Kluyveromyces lactis: one gene and its partner. The protein of the gene in region 1 interacts with the protein of each later gene in a biochemical or structural test. Links are inferred from orthologs where the notes say so. Each region holds a gene or a part of one and is shown in the gene's direction. Other genes may lie near its edges.

Evidence for each region.
Region 2: of the proteins of CAK1 (region 1) and KIN28, one has a biochemical effect on the other in vitro, tested with the Saccharomyces cerevisiae proteins (2 studies listed by BioGRID). The link is inferred for Kluyveromyces lactis from reciprocal best matches to the Saccharomyces cerevisiae genes CAK1 and KIN28.

Annotation. Positions count from the first base shown.
Region 1 is NC_006042.1:821,802-828,873, forward strand, and holds CAK1 (cyclin-dependent protein kinase-activating kinase CAK1), read left to right. Parts: upstream 1-3,415; coding exon 3,416-4,381; downstream 4,382-7,072. Other genes in the region: putative ATP-binding cassette family ATPase CAF16, read left to right, coding at 238-1,059; ERG3 (C-5 sterol desaturase), read left to right, coding at 1,794-2,855; putative mannosidase MNL2, read left to right, coding at 4,773-6,884.
Region 2 is NC_006041.1:1,321,489-1,327,905, reverse strand, and holds KIN28 (TFIIH complex serine/threonine-protein kinase subunit KIN28), read left to right. Parts: upstream 1-3,230; coding exon 3,231-4,163; downstream 4,164-6,417. Other genes in the region: putative lipase ROG1, read right to left, coding at 1-1,572; MRF1 (Mrf1p), read right to left, coding at 1,806-2,996; KLLA0_E14763g (NAD(P)/FAD-dependent oxidoreductase), read right to left, coding at 4,243-5,445; MSS2 (Mss2p), read left to right, coding at 5,726-6,417. UniProt on the Saccharomyces cerevisiae protein: Catalytic component of the TFIIK complex (KIN28-CCL1 dimer) which is the protein kinase component of transcription factor IIH (TFIIH) and phosphorylates the C-terminal domain of RNA polymerase II during transition from transcription to elongation after preinitiation complex (PIC) formation, thereby positively regulating transcription.

The DNA of each region.
Region 1 (7,072 bases):
TTCCTGTCATATTCACTGTGTCCTAAATTCGTACAGACAGGTTTATTTTGGTTGAAATCATTTCAATATCAACAGTTTTATTTTCCAAATATCAAATTGAATCAGAACACTTTCAAATGGAGACAACAAGATAACGATCCTATTATACACTGGCGGAGCTTCTAATCACCGCTCAATCGGTATCTAACTATAGAACAAGTCACTCAAACCTTTGAAAACTACAAGCCAAAACAAATAATGGCCTCGAACGACCTAGCAGTGGAAGTGCACGATCTAACGTACGCATTCCCCGGAAGTAAACGCTCAGCAATCCACGATCTATCGCTAAGTGTCGAATGGAACAAGAAAGTCTTAGTGGTGGGTAACAACGGTGCTGGAAAATCTACGCTGTTGAAACTACTAAGTGGTAAACATTTGTGTCTCGGTGGGAACATAAAAGTTGGAAACAAGAACCCATTCGCACCAAACAATGACCAGGAGTCCGTGATACTGACTACTTACTTAGGCACTGAATGGGCTAGTATGGCTATTGTACACAGGGATATAGGAGTCCTGGAACTCTTGGAGAGTATCGGACTAAGCCACTACAGGGCTCGAGGTGAAGAGCTAGTGAGAATCTTGGAAGTGGATATCAATTGGAGAATGTTCAAACTTAGCGATGGCCAAAAGAGACGTGTACAACTGTGCATGGGTTTATTGAAACCCTTCAAAGTTCTGCTATTAGACGAAGTCACTGTGGACTTGGATGTCGTGGCACGTGACCGTCTATTCCAATTCCTGGATCGAGAAACGAGAGACAGACAATGTAGCGTTGTGTATGCAACGCACATTTTCGATGGGCTAGCACCATGGGCTGATGAGATTATCCATTTGCAAGATGGCACCATCACAAGAACGTTGGATTACCAACGTGATATCCACTTTACAAAGGAAATAGAGGGCGTCCAAGAGCGAAAGGACAACGGACGACACACCGTGATACTAGGCTACATGAAGAGTTTATACCCGCTTGCACTCCACTGGTTGACCAGAGACCAAGTCGAAGACCAAAAGCTTTGATTCAACTTCTAAACGGTCAAACCGATATATGTCTGTAATATACTATATATACATAATCAGACTTTAATCATACACAAAGCGAAAGATAAATCACGTGAGTAATATATCGGTCCATTGCCTAGGTTCCCTCCCTTCCTCGTTTAAAAAACGTAATGCTGCCAATCGTATAACGTCGTTTACGGGATTTCGCCTCGAGGGAACGAAAAGAATGAAAAGCATAATACGAAGCGAATAAAAAAAAACAGTTAGGAAACCCCAGAAACTGCCGTACCAGAAAGGAAACTGGGTGGTGCTGAAATGTGCATCAAAGCCCAACTGGCGACAGAAAAACAGGCCACAACTTGCGAAAAGTACGCCGTAAACACTCTAGAAGAAAAGAGCTAGTCGTATAGACTAGCTGTGATAACGGTATGAACGGCTTGGTTTCGCAAGCCAATGCTTATTGAAGAAATGGACCGATGAGGCTCGATACTCTTCGCATTCTATCGTTAAAACTCGGGTTTTTTATCGTTCAATTTGGTTAACTTCGTGAAAAAAAAGTTAAAAATGAAATCGTGATATTTTCTATACACACTGATATATAAATAATATATGTATATAAGGCGATGAGTTAGCCAGTTTGATTTAGTTGCTAGATTCAGATCGTAAAAGCAGCAGGAATAAGTCGGCATATAGAAGCAAAACACAGTAGAGGGAGAATCCCAAGCTGATATACATATATTCGAATACACACCATGGATTTATTATTGGAAGTTTGTGATACGTATCTGTTGGATTACGTTTATGGGAAAGTATTCCCTGTGAATATGCTACCCAGCAGTGTTACCAATAGTGTTGGTCAGTTTTTGGACTTGAACACAGGAAATTTAAACGGCACTGCAGCCAAGCCAGCTGGTGATGTGTACGGTTATGAACCATTCTTGTTGGAATTCACTGATTATACGTTCCAATCAATTTTCCCTCGTTATAATTTGTTTAGAGAAACGCTAACGATGTTTGTCTTGATGACAATTTTTGGATGGGCTTTGTACTTCAGTGTCGCTACGATGTCGTACCTTTTCGTTTTTGATAAGGCTGTTTTCAATCATCCCCGTTATTTGAAGAACCAGATGTCGTTGGAAATGAAACAGGCATTCAGTGCCATCCCAGTGATGGTTCTGTTGACTATACCATGGTTCTTGTTCGAATTGAACGGATATTCGAAGCTTTACCTCGATATCGATTATAAATCATGGGCTGGAATTCGTCAACTTGCGTTTGAAGTGATCTCTTTCATCATGTTCACCGATTGTTTGATTTATTTGGTTCATAGATGGTTGCACTGGCCTAGAGTTTACAGGGCTTTGCACAAGCCTCATCACAAATGGTTGGTTACCACTCCATATGCGTCGCATGCGTTCCACCCAGTGGACGGTTACATGCAATCTGTGCCATACCATCTTTACCCAATGATTTTCCCATTGCAAAAAATTTCATATTTGATTCTTTTCACCTTCGTTAACTTCTGGACTGTAATGATCCACGACGGTGAATATCTGGCTAATGACCCTGTCATTAACGGTGCTGCTTGCCACACTGTGCACCATCTATATTTCAACTACAACTACGGACAATTCACTACCCTATGGGATAGATTGGGTGGTTCTTACAGAGAACCAGATCAAGAACTTTTCAACAAATCTTTGAAGAAGAGCAAACAAACTTGGGAAATCCAAGTCGAAAAGATGGAGGCCATCAAACAAGAAGTAGAAGGTGACTGTGATGACAGAGTTTACGTCACAACCAAAGCTTCTTAGGTTAATTGTAAGTCGCTCTTTCTCGATTCAAGACTCTTCACTCCACTTTGCATGCATTTGCACACCATAACGAACTACATTCAAGACTGTAACTACTCGTTTTCTTTTCTGTTATGATTATGACTACTTTTTTTTTCTCCTACTCACAATAAACACATGTCCTTCGTACGATATCTCATTTCCCCTCTCTCGGATACCTGTTACCAATTGAATTTCCATCTCTTCCCTTTTAGTTAATTGATGTCTGTCTTCGTTGGATCAAACTTTCCCCATTTTTATGTATCTATATATACATCTTACTTACTTGTACAATTATAGAACCTTCAACATACGTGTTTTTATTTTAGTAATTATAGTGATTCCTTGCGATACTACAAAATGCTACACCTTTTCCTTGTCTTTTGTCGTCCTTGTCTTTTGTCGTCCTTCCTTCATTTATCACATTAATGACATAAAACGGAAATTATAGATTAGTTCTAATCTCTTCGGACATGAAACTGAACCATTGGGTTTGTCACTGACAAGACTAGGGGTATAGCGTACTAACCTACATTGGCTACATGACAAACAAGACAAATATGACAACTCCAATTAAGATTCAAACAGGTTGCGCTGATTTAGAATTGTTTCCTGACATTGTGGTGAAACGGATAGATCTTGAGTTGCAAAGACCTCCTCATAATGCACATACTGAGTTAGAAATTTTGAAAACACTATCAAATAAGCATGTGATACCCTTGCTCGGTTCTGAAACCTCACCAAGGTATGTTACATTCAAATTCAAACGGTATCAATGCGATTTAAACCAGTTCATGGACCAACATTGGAAGGCGAAATACAATCCGTACTTGTTAGATAATTCTACAAAAACATATTCAAATACCATACCACTCGATCACTCGACAGTGATTATAAGACAAATAATCGAGGGATTAGTTTATATACACGGTAATGGCATTATACATAGGGATGTCAAACCGCAGAATATCATGCTTAACTCGTACAATGAAGTCGTATTAGGGGACTTCGGTATAAGTTACAATAGGAATCTGGATAATGAGGCCAAGACCTGTGATTGTTCCACATCAATTTACAAAGCACCAGAGCTTCTCTTTAGCGTGTCAAATTACAAATTCGAGATAGATATTTGGGCATTAGCTGTGTTGATTTCTCAACTCTGGAACGATAAAACACAATCCAAATCAAAAAGCAGCAAAGTGATAGACATTGATTTCGACGAATGTTCTGACATAAAACTTGTGCTCACTTTATTTGATAAGTTTGGGAAACCCAGTAACGAGGATTGGCCTCAGGTGACTAAAAATGAATCATTCAATGGGATGTTCGGGAATGTTTCAAGCGATAATTTCTTGCATAGGAGACCAATTGACGAACAACTGATTCAAGTGTACAAATGGATGCCTCTCATAACGGACAACCCAAAATTAGCTAAGATGTGGCTACGCATGGTCAAATTCGATGGTAATCTGAGAATATCGGCAGAGCAACTCTTGGTATCTATCTAGTAGTGTTTCTTTGTAGCTCCATAAAATGTTGAACCTGCTTTAATCTTTGTATCTCTTTCTTCTGAACTAACATCTGTCTTTTCATCTCGTTCAATTCGACAGATGGTGTGCTAACTTTCTTCTCGGTATCCATATTTAAAACTTCGGCGGGGTGACAACAATACCGGTTGTCAGAAATTTCATTTGAATCCATTGGCAGTTTCCCTCGATTTATTGTCCTTGAGTGGACTATTGTGACCTTGAGAGATGAGATCAAAATCCGTTTTCAAATTAGAAAAACATACAAGCACGATATTGGATTCACGAAATAGATAAGTTATAAACTACTTCATGTCTATCCCATTAGCTAGACCTACGATCTCACAGGAACATTAACACATAGGAGAGGACTATGTTTCTAAGGTTACTCCTCCATACATGGAGGAAATGCCGATCAATCCTGCTTTTGCTCATTACTGCAAGCGTTTTATTCTACTATACCTTTGAAAATGAGATTGAGCATCTTAATTCTTTTGCATACACTGATTCTTTACCATTGATTCAGAACCAAGATTCGCATAATGCTCCTGTAGCTGGTTCTGCAGATAAAATTACACACGATGAAATATCCAAGGAGCTGACCGATAAGTCGAGTTTGTCTGAAAAGAATAAGTATTTCCCCATATTGCTAGAGAATAGCGACGAAGCCTTGAAGTATCGGTCGGAAAATTATGACAGTAAGGAGCCATTCCACCCCTTCCATCCTTTCTATGAGAAAAAAACTGTTATACCTTACAAACAAATTAGCAAACAGTATCCGCAATTGAATCGAGTGTCATCTATTCATTCGAACGCTTTAATAAAGGACGAGCTATTGTATCATTGGACAGCTAGAATAAACCGCATTACAGACCATGCCTACTTGGATTTGCAAACAAATATTTCCATTTTGTCTACGGACTCACTTTTACAGCGAAATGAATCACTTCTTACCGTGACCGCTGTACTTAATAAGTTTGATGACCCAATGGATCAACGGGTCTGGTCATCTGAGATTTTAGGTTCATTATTAGCTGTAATTGGTAATAGGAAAGAGAAGAATCCTGAATTGTTACAGTTGATAACGATAATAGGTGAAATGTTGCTCCGCAGTTACGACACTCCAAACTATTTACCGCAGATTCCTTTCTTTTGGAAAACATCTGTCCCAAATCGATACGCTTTCAAAAAGACAAAAACTAGCATGTTAGCAACTAATATACTTGAGTTTCTTACTTTGTCACACATAACTAATGACCCACAATTTGACTCAGTTGTTTCTCACTCTTTGCAGACGATGTCAAGATCCGTGCTTTTATTCGATATAGATTACCTTTTCCCTTCCTTTGTTGACGCAAGTGGTTGTAAACCTTTATCTGATGAAAAAATTGCAAAAGGAGACCACCTTCGTGAATCCAACGTTTTGAAGTCTATGCAAAATGGTAAGTATATTCATTGTGTTATCAAGGAATCGCTACTTCCTCAACATAATGTCGATGGAAATCCCATTACACTGGATACAATCGATTTATACTTGACCGTTTTGAAGGCTTATCATCTTAATAACGGTAATCTGTTTGAGAAAAGAGAGGCTGAAAAGTCTATCACTAAATCGTTGTTACACTCAATTAAGATGATAAATGACACAATGCTATTTCAGCCGTGGCTTCCATCTGATTTAGAGGATCTTTTGCTTCCAACCAGTATTAAAACAAACATTCATTTCGACGTTTTAGAGGATAGAAACGAAGTCTCTATCGGGAAAGAATACAAGGTGACGCCAGATGGTGCTAAAATGAGTTCACTTTTATCCATATCTAGCGTTTTGTTTAATGATTCATCATTGATCGAGCAAGCAAAGGCTATCACTAAGGGGTATTACGAATTATACAAGTTGTTAGATCAAATTCCAGATGTTGTGGCATTGGATAGAAAACTTCCTACTTTCGGAATGTTTGATCCAACTGCTAAGATTGCGCTAATCAAATCTGGACACTATAAATCAAACACCATGCAGCAAGGCGTCAAAATTACGGAAACGACAGAAGACAAATCAAAACACTATACGAACACGGATGCGCACAGCTTCTCACCCAACGTCAAAGACATAAATGAAGAACAATTGTGTTGGAAGCTGCATACTTGGCCGTTTTATGTCAATGATATGGTGGTATCAACAAGGCCACCTTTCGAACTCATTGAGTCGTTAATTTATCTTTACAAAATAACCGAAGACTATCAATGGAAGCTCATCGGTGAAGATCTTATGCATAGCATCGAATGGTCACAATTAACCGTAGCGGATACGGGAAAGTTAGTAAGGTTATTTTATGCATTGTTTGAGGATCACGTTAATATTGATGAATACGTCATAAACAGCAAGTACCATTTCATTGCCAGACAATTTGAGGTTAATCCGACTTCTAAACGGATTTATCATACCTTTGACGACATAAAAGAAACCAACAAGCTAATGAACCCGTAAATATGTATATATTCGCATTTGTTATAGCAAGAATGATCATGATTATTTTGTTGAATATGATTCAATTGTTGAATTGAACTACTTAAAAAATATACGAAAAGAGATGCTATTTATACATATCATCAATTAGATAAAAGAGATACCATTTGTTGAAAATTAGAACCCAAGTTGATAAAAAAGAGTGTGAA
Region 2 (6,417 bases), on another chromosome or scaffold:
TTTAAGTAGAACATTTGAGCTATTCATGACCTCCAATTGGCTATTAGATTGATGATCTGGAATATCCTGTCCGCTGTATACTTTATCATGTACTACAACGTCTTTCCTTGTTTTCGGATCAGTTATATAAGATTTGTCAGGTAGTGGAGGAATCAATACTGAGTATGCAGAATCAAGCATCGATGCCACAGGTATCTTTGTTCCGTTTTGTGAGACCCTCTGAGGCATCAATATATCCATGGCCTTAGTTAGCGGAGAGATGAAGTTCCTTTGAAAGAAGTCTGTCTGTAAATCTTCAGTATTCATGTTAAGCTTATCCAAAATATCATCATAATCTAGAAATAATAGTGCGGATGTGTATAATGGTACAATTCCATCATTGCAAGCATTTGCATACACTGTGCAGCTTTTAAAGCATTTTAGAATCCTTCTCAAAGCAGACGAGCTGGATAAAGTTTGTAGAAGAGGCTGTTTAAGTCCATTGTATGTTTGTAGGCTGAGATCCTGTCCCGTCTTACCGGCAATACCCATTGCCAATAGCCGCTGGATATAAACTGCGTTGTCACTAACAATCCCAAGCATGGGAGATGCCATTGTTATGAAGTTTACAGGTTCAACCTGTTCAAAAAACTTTGGATAGTTGTAAGAGATATAAGCAATTGCGAAGGATTGAACCAATCCGCCTAATGAATGTCCAATGAATGAAATTTTTACAGTAGCATCATTGTATAGGTTATGAACTATATGTTCGGCCAACCGGGTCCCTAGCCATTTTATGCCTTTCTCTGTCTTGCATACATTGTCGGTGAATCCTTTCACAACTAGCATTTCCTCATGTTGGTTTTGAGTCTTCTCAATCTGTTCCTTGATATAAAATAAATCCGACGTAACGTTAGAGTGTAAGCCATGCGTAAGAATGACGAGATGCTCTTTTCGCCTACCAAAAACACTCTTTGAAAGCAACGATGCATTCCAAAGATCTGCGGTAGTCAGTCTATCCACTTTCATTCTTGAACTCTGTACCCCCAACTGGATATTTCTTGCTGAGTCCACACTTATTGATTCCTTACTACCACCTACGGTGATAGAAAAGTTTATCGATGCCTGTTTGGTAAATAAGATTTGGCTTGCAATGTCAACAATCCATACGTACCGTTTCTTCAAGTTGTGCAATGAAAGCTCCGCAATAAAATCCTGTTGCGGTTGAATATTAGACTCAAACTGAGGTTGATCAGCAGAAATGAATAATCTTTGTTTGTGGTGGTAATCCTTCGTTCGCACATCCGCGTACAACACGTAGGGCCCCATCAAATACGCTGCCCTGAGCGTCACGTTTTCAATGTTTTTGATCTTCAACCACAATGAATCCAACGTTAAATCACTGGGTATCTCATCTCCCATATAAAGGTCATAAGTGAAAATATATCGCTCTAGCTCCCCTATTCGCAACGACGACTGGAAATGGTACATGATATCATGATCTGATGCAGTCATTTTTAACCACTGATCCCGTTGGTGCTTTGCATTTTGTCTCATCGTTGAAGGGATTATGTATCTAAGCATACTTTGCATTTTGACACTTCAATTTCTCCAGTCAAAAATCGTATAATGGTTCGTATAAAGAACTGGGTGAGAAACAGCAACACACTATACACCAATACGTACCCTCGAGTGAGGTTTCACACTAGATTGATGTTCAGGGTGCTTTCTTCTATACATATATGCAACTTTATTTTATACTATTTACAGTGTAAATCCAATTATCATTCCCTGGCGCAGAACGGTGTTTCCAACTGAATATTTGATCAAGCTGACATGTCCTGAAGTAATTGCTTAGCCTTCTGCTCAGAACTAAACGCGTCCATAGCATCAATTACATCATCTAGCCTCTCACCCTTCATGACCCCCTCGATATCATATAGTGTGAAGCCACATCTATGGTCCGTGATTCTATTCTGTGGGTAATTATAAGTTCTGATCTTGTCAGATCTGTCTGTCGTGGAAACTTGATCTTTCCTTGCATTCCTCTCTTTCTCCTCTTTCTCAAGCCTTTCCTTTTCGGCCAACCTTGCTCGTAGGATAGCAAAGGCTTTGGCTTTGTTTCTGTGTTGAGACCTTTCTTCCTGCATTGAAATCACAATGCCTGATGGATAATGTGTCAACCTGACAGCAGAATCTGTAGTGTTGACATGCTGCCCACCTTTACCACTGGCTCTCATGACATCGATACGAATCTCATCTGGCTTGAAAGTCCTCTCGTATGCATCAGATTCACTTTCTTCACCCATTTTGGGTAGCACAATGACGGCCGCAGTGGAAGTATGAGTTCTTCCCTTTGATTCTGTGGCAGGCACTCTTTGAACACGATGAACTCCGGCTTCGAATTTCAATTTATCATAAGAACCTGGTTCATCTATATTCAAGATTGCTTCCAGGACTCCGCTACCGCTTGCGTTCTCAGTTTTTGATATTAGGTTCCATTTCCATTTATGATAATTTGCATAGTTAATGTACATGTTCAACAGATCTTGAGTGAATATCATAGCTTCAGAACCACCGACACCAGGCCTTAGTTCTAATATACTGGGTTTATCTGCAAAAGGATGAGGCGGTAGGAGTTTATTCAATAAAGAGTCCCCTGTCTTGTTCAAATCTGGGAGTAGTGCTGCTATGTCTGCTTCGGCTTCTTCTCGTAATGATGGATCTAATTCCAGTATCTCCTGTAGTTCTTTATACTGATTGACTTCTTCTCTGTATTTGGAATACGAATCCACAATCGTAGATAGTTTGGCAAAATTCTTCTGTTTCTCAAGATCGAAGGATCCACCCTGCGACAACAGGTCCTCTAACTCTCGCAATTCATTGACATACAGCTCTGCTCTTGATATTAGCGATGAGTGCAATGGTCGAAATTCGACGGCTTCAGAACTGTTAAATCTGACTTGAAGAGCCACGTTTCGAAAGAACTTTCCTCTTCCAAACAATTTTGAGATCATTTCCCCAATCGAATGTAGTTTTTAACTCTGAAGATCCGATGGTACTTCGTTTTGATTCACCATACACTTCTTCCTTTACATAGCATAATATGTATCAAACTTTCAAAGATTTTTCATATTTAATATAGAAAGGTCCAAGCTTCTGCCAACATGCAGATAGACATTTGATGTTTAAAGTCATCGTTGGATCTGGGAACTGATTCTGTCATACGGTAGAGCTCGAAGTTATAAACCATGACCCTAAAATCTACTGTTGATGACTATACTAAGGAGAAAAAGGCTGGTGAAGGTACGTATGCCGTGGTTTATTTGGGAACTAAGAAGTCCACTGGAAGGAGTATTGCGGTGAAGGAGATCAAGACCTCACAGTTCAAAGATGGACTTGACATGTCAGCATTACGTGAAGTGAAGTTTCTACAAGAGTTGAAGCATGTGAATGTTATTGAATTAGTAGACGTTTTCATGGCAAACGATAATTTGAATTTAGTGTTGGAGTTTCTACCTGCCGACTTGGAGATCATTATTAAGGACACTTCTATTATGTTCAGTCCAGCAGATATTAAGTCCTGGATTCTAATGACTTTGAGAGGTGTACACCATTGTCATAGAAACTTCATACTTCATAGAGATTTGAAGCCAAATAATTTACTATTAGCACCTGATGGTCAATTGAAAATCGCAGATTTTGGTCTAGCCAGACTAATGGCGTCACCACAGGAGATTTTGACCAGTAACGTTGTTACCAGATGGTACAGAGCACCGGAGCTCTTATTTGGTGCAAAACACTACACCTCTGCGGTCGATATCTGGTCTGTCGGTGTTATATTCGCAGAATTAATGTTGAGAATTCCTTATTTGCCGGGGAAAGATGATGTTGATCAGATAAACGTAACATTCCGTGCGTTAGGAACTCCTACTGATGCGGATTGGCCTGAAGTTTCTAGTTTTAGCAATTATAATAAGATTCAAATATATCCACCTCCATCGAGAGAGGAATTGAGAAGAAGATTCATAGCGGCTACGGAAAATGCACTTGAACTGATAAGTGGGATGATGATAATGAACCCTAAAAAGAGATGGGATGCAGTCAAGTGTCTACAAAGTCAATATTTCCAGGAATTGCCGGAGCCTACACTTCCACAAGATCTTCCTAAGCTCAATAAATGAAAATACCTAGATATATTTTGAATAGAATACGAGGATATGTACGAAAAAAAAGTTCATTATTGCATGTTATCTGTTATTCCTAACCGTGAAGTATCTTCTTCACGTATCTCCCGATTGGGATACTTGACGTTAAACCTGGAGATTCGATACCTAGCAGGTTAACAAACCCCGGGAATCCTTCTTCTTCTTTAATATAGAAATCTTTGAATTCTGTGTCACCTGGTGCTGCTAATTTAGGCCTGATACCGCAGTATGAAGCCTCTAATTCACCTGGTTGCAGATGAGGGAAATATCTTGTGATGGTTTTGGCAGCGTCTTCAATATTCAGCGGGTTTGGGATCAGATCATCCGCAGAGTCAACATATTCAAGATCAGGACCGAATCTCACTTGATGATTTAAATCAATGGTCAAATGAGTTCCCAATGATTTGCCATTTCTGGGAGGCACAGGATAGATCAATCTTCTCACAGCTGGAACTTGAGTCTTCGAAGTGAAATAATTGCCCTTGGCATAATATTGCTTTACCTGACGTTCAGGTGGTAAGATCATATTAGCAATCTTGTCTGCATATAATCCAGCAGCGTTGATAACATTTTCTACACGAATCTCGACTTCTTCTGCAGTACCATTCAGCGTTTCCACGCATTGGAGAGCGTAGCTAGATCCTAAAAATTGAATATCCTTAACTTCAGATCCAATCACAGTATCACCCCCCTGGTTATCAACCATAGCAGAGAGGTATTCTATCAAAGAATGTGAGTCGATGATACCCGTGGTTGGAGATACAAGTGCACTTCTTTCGACTATTACAGCTGGCTCTTGCCATTGAGTCTTGTGACTGGGCAAAATTTCTACTGGAAGATTTAACTCATATTTCGCTTTATAGTACATACGTTCAACATATGCATCTTCGAAATCAGTTTGTGCCACAACCCACTTACCACATTTCAGCCAATCGACACCAGTCTTCCTGGGATTCAATTCATTGTATATGATATGGTTTCCTTCAATACAAAACTTCGTTTTTAACGAATCTACTGGGTAATACAAACCAGCATGAATCACCTCACTATTACGGCTCGAAGTTTCTTGGCCAATCTTTGCATTCTTCTCCAAAACAATCACTTTATTGCCTGGGACTTTGGTAAGTTCGTTGGCAATAGCCAGTCCGACTACACCTGCACCGATAACAGCATGCGAATAATCAACAGGAGCCGAATAAAAACGTGAAAACAATGGTCGAATCAAAGAGCGACAATTAGCTTGGAATTTTAGCACCATTGATAGATATTGATTGTGTATTGACACCTACTTTCATGCCTTTAACTTAAATAATCGGACCTTATCCGATTATGTGTAACGGTTGGTAAAGAATCATTTTATAGAAACTCGAATTTTAACCAGGAAAGGATCAAAACCAAATACATCATCAAGTTCTTACGCACAAATGGATCAAAGGCAGACCTACAGGATTAAGCAGAACGTTAGGCTTTTGTGAGATCTTCCAGGCTTTATTCGAATCTTCTGATATACCCGAGAGCTAAAACTGTTTTTGTTCGAGATGCTTGGTTTTAGAAGCTGTATCTTGGTATCAAGCAGGAGACTGATTTCCAGTTTAGCCAACAAACGGCCACCATTGCATGAGATCTTCCCACAAAAGAAGATGGTTAGCAGGATATTGTTTGAGCTCGATAGTCGGCTTGCATACAATAAGCTATATCCTATGTATGAGAAGCTTTATGAGGGACTAGACACTGGTAATGATGTTGATATACCCAATAGCATCAAAGGGAAAGACTTAATGATAATGAAAAAAGTTCTTGAGAAAGTGAGGCATAAGACTAAAGCTATCAACAAGAACCTATTAGCCTTGGAGAATGTTTTGTTGGATAGGGCTGCTGAGATCGGAGACAATGATGCTATATCGCTCTTATGTTTTGATGTTCTAAAGGATCCAGACAGTAATACTGAAGATGACGTATCTCATGCAAAGAAATTGATTAAGAACCTCTATCAAATGAATCACCCTTTAACCGTCAAACTAACTGCTGATATAGCTCTGAAGAACCATGACGATGCTACTGCCGAAGTGTACTATATGAAATTTTTGGATTTACAGAATGATACTTTCTTAGCTGGAGAAGTATACGGTCAATTGGGCCAGATCCACTTTAGAAAACCGAATCTTATTGAAGCAGAGAAATGTTTCTTAAAATCAATCAAACTTTGTCCTATTGATTACTCGGTACGATC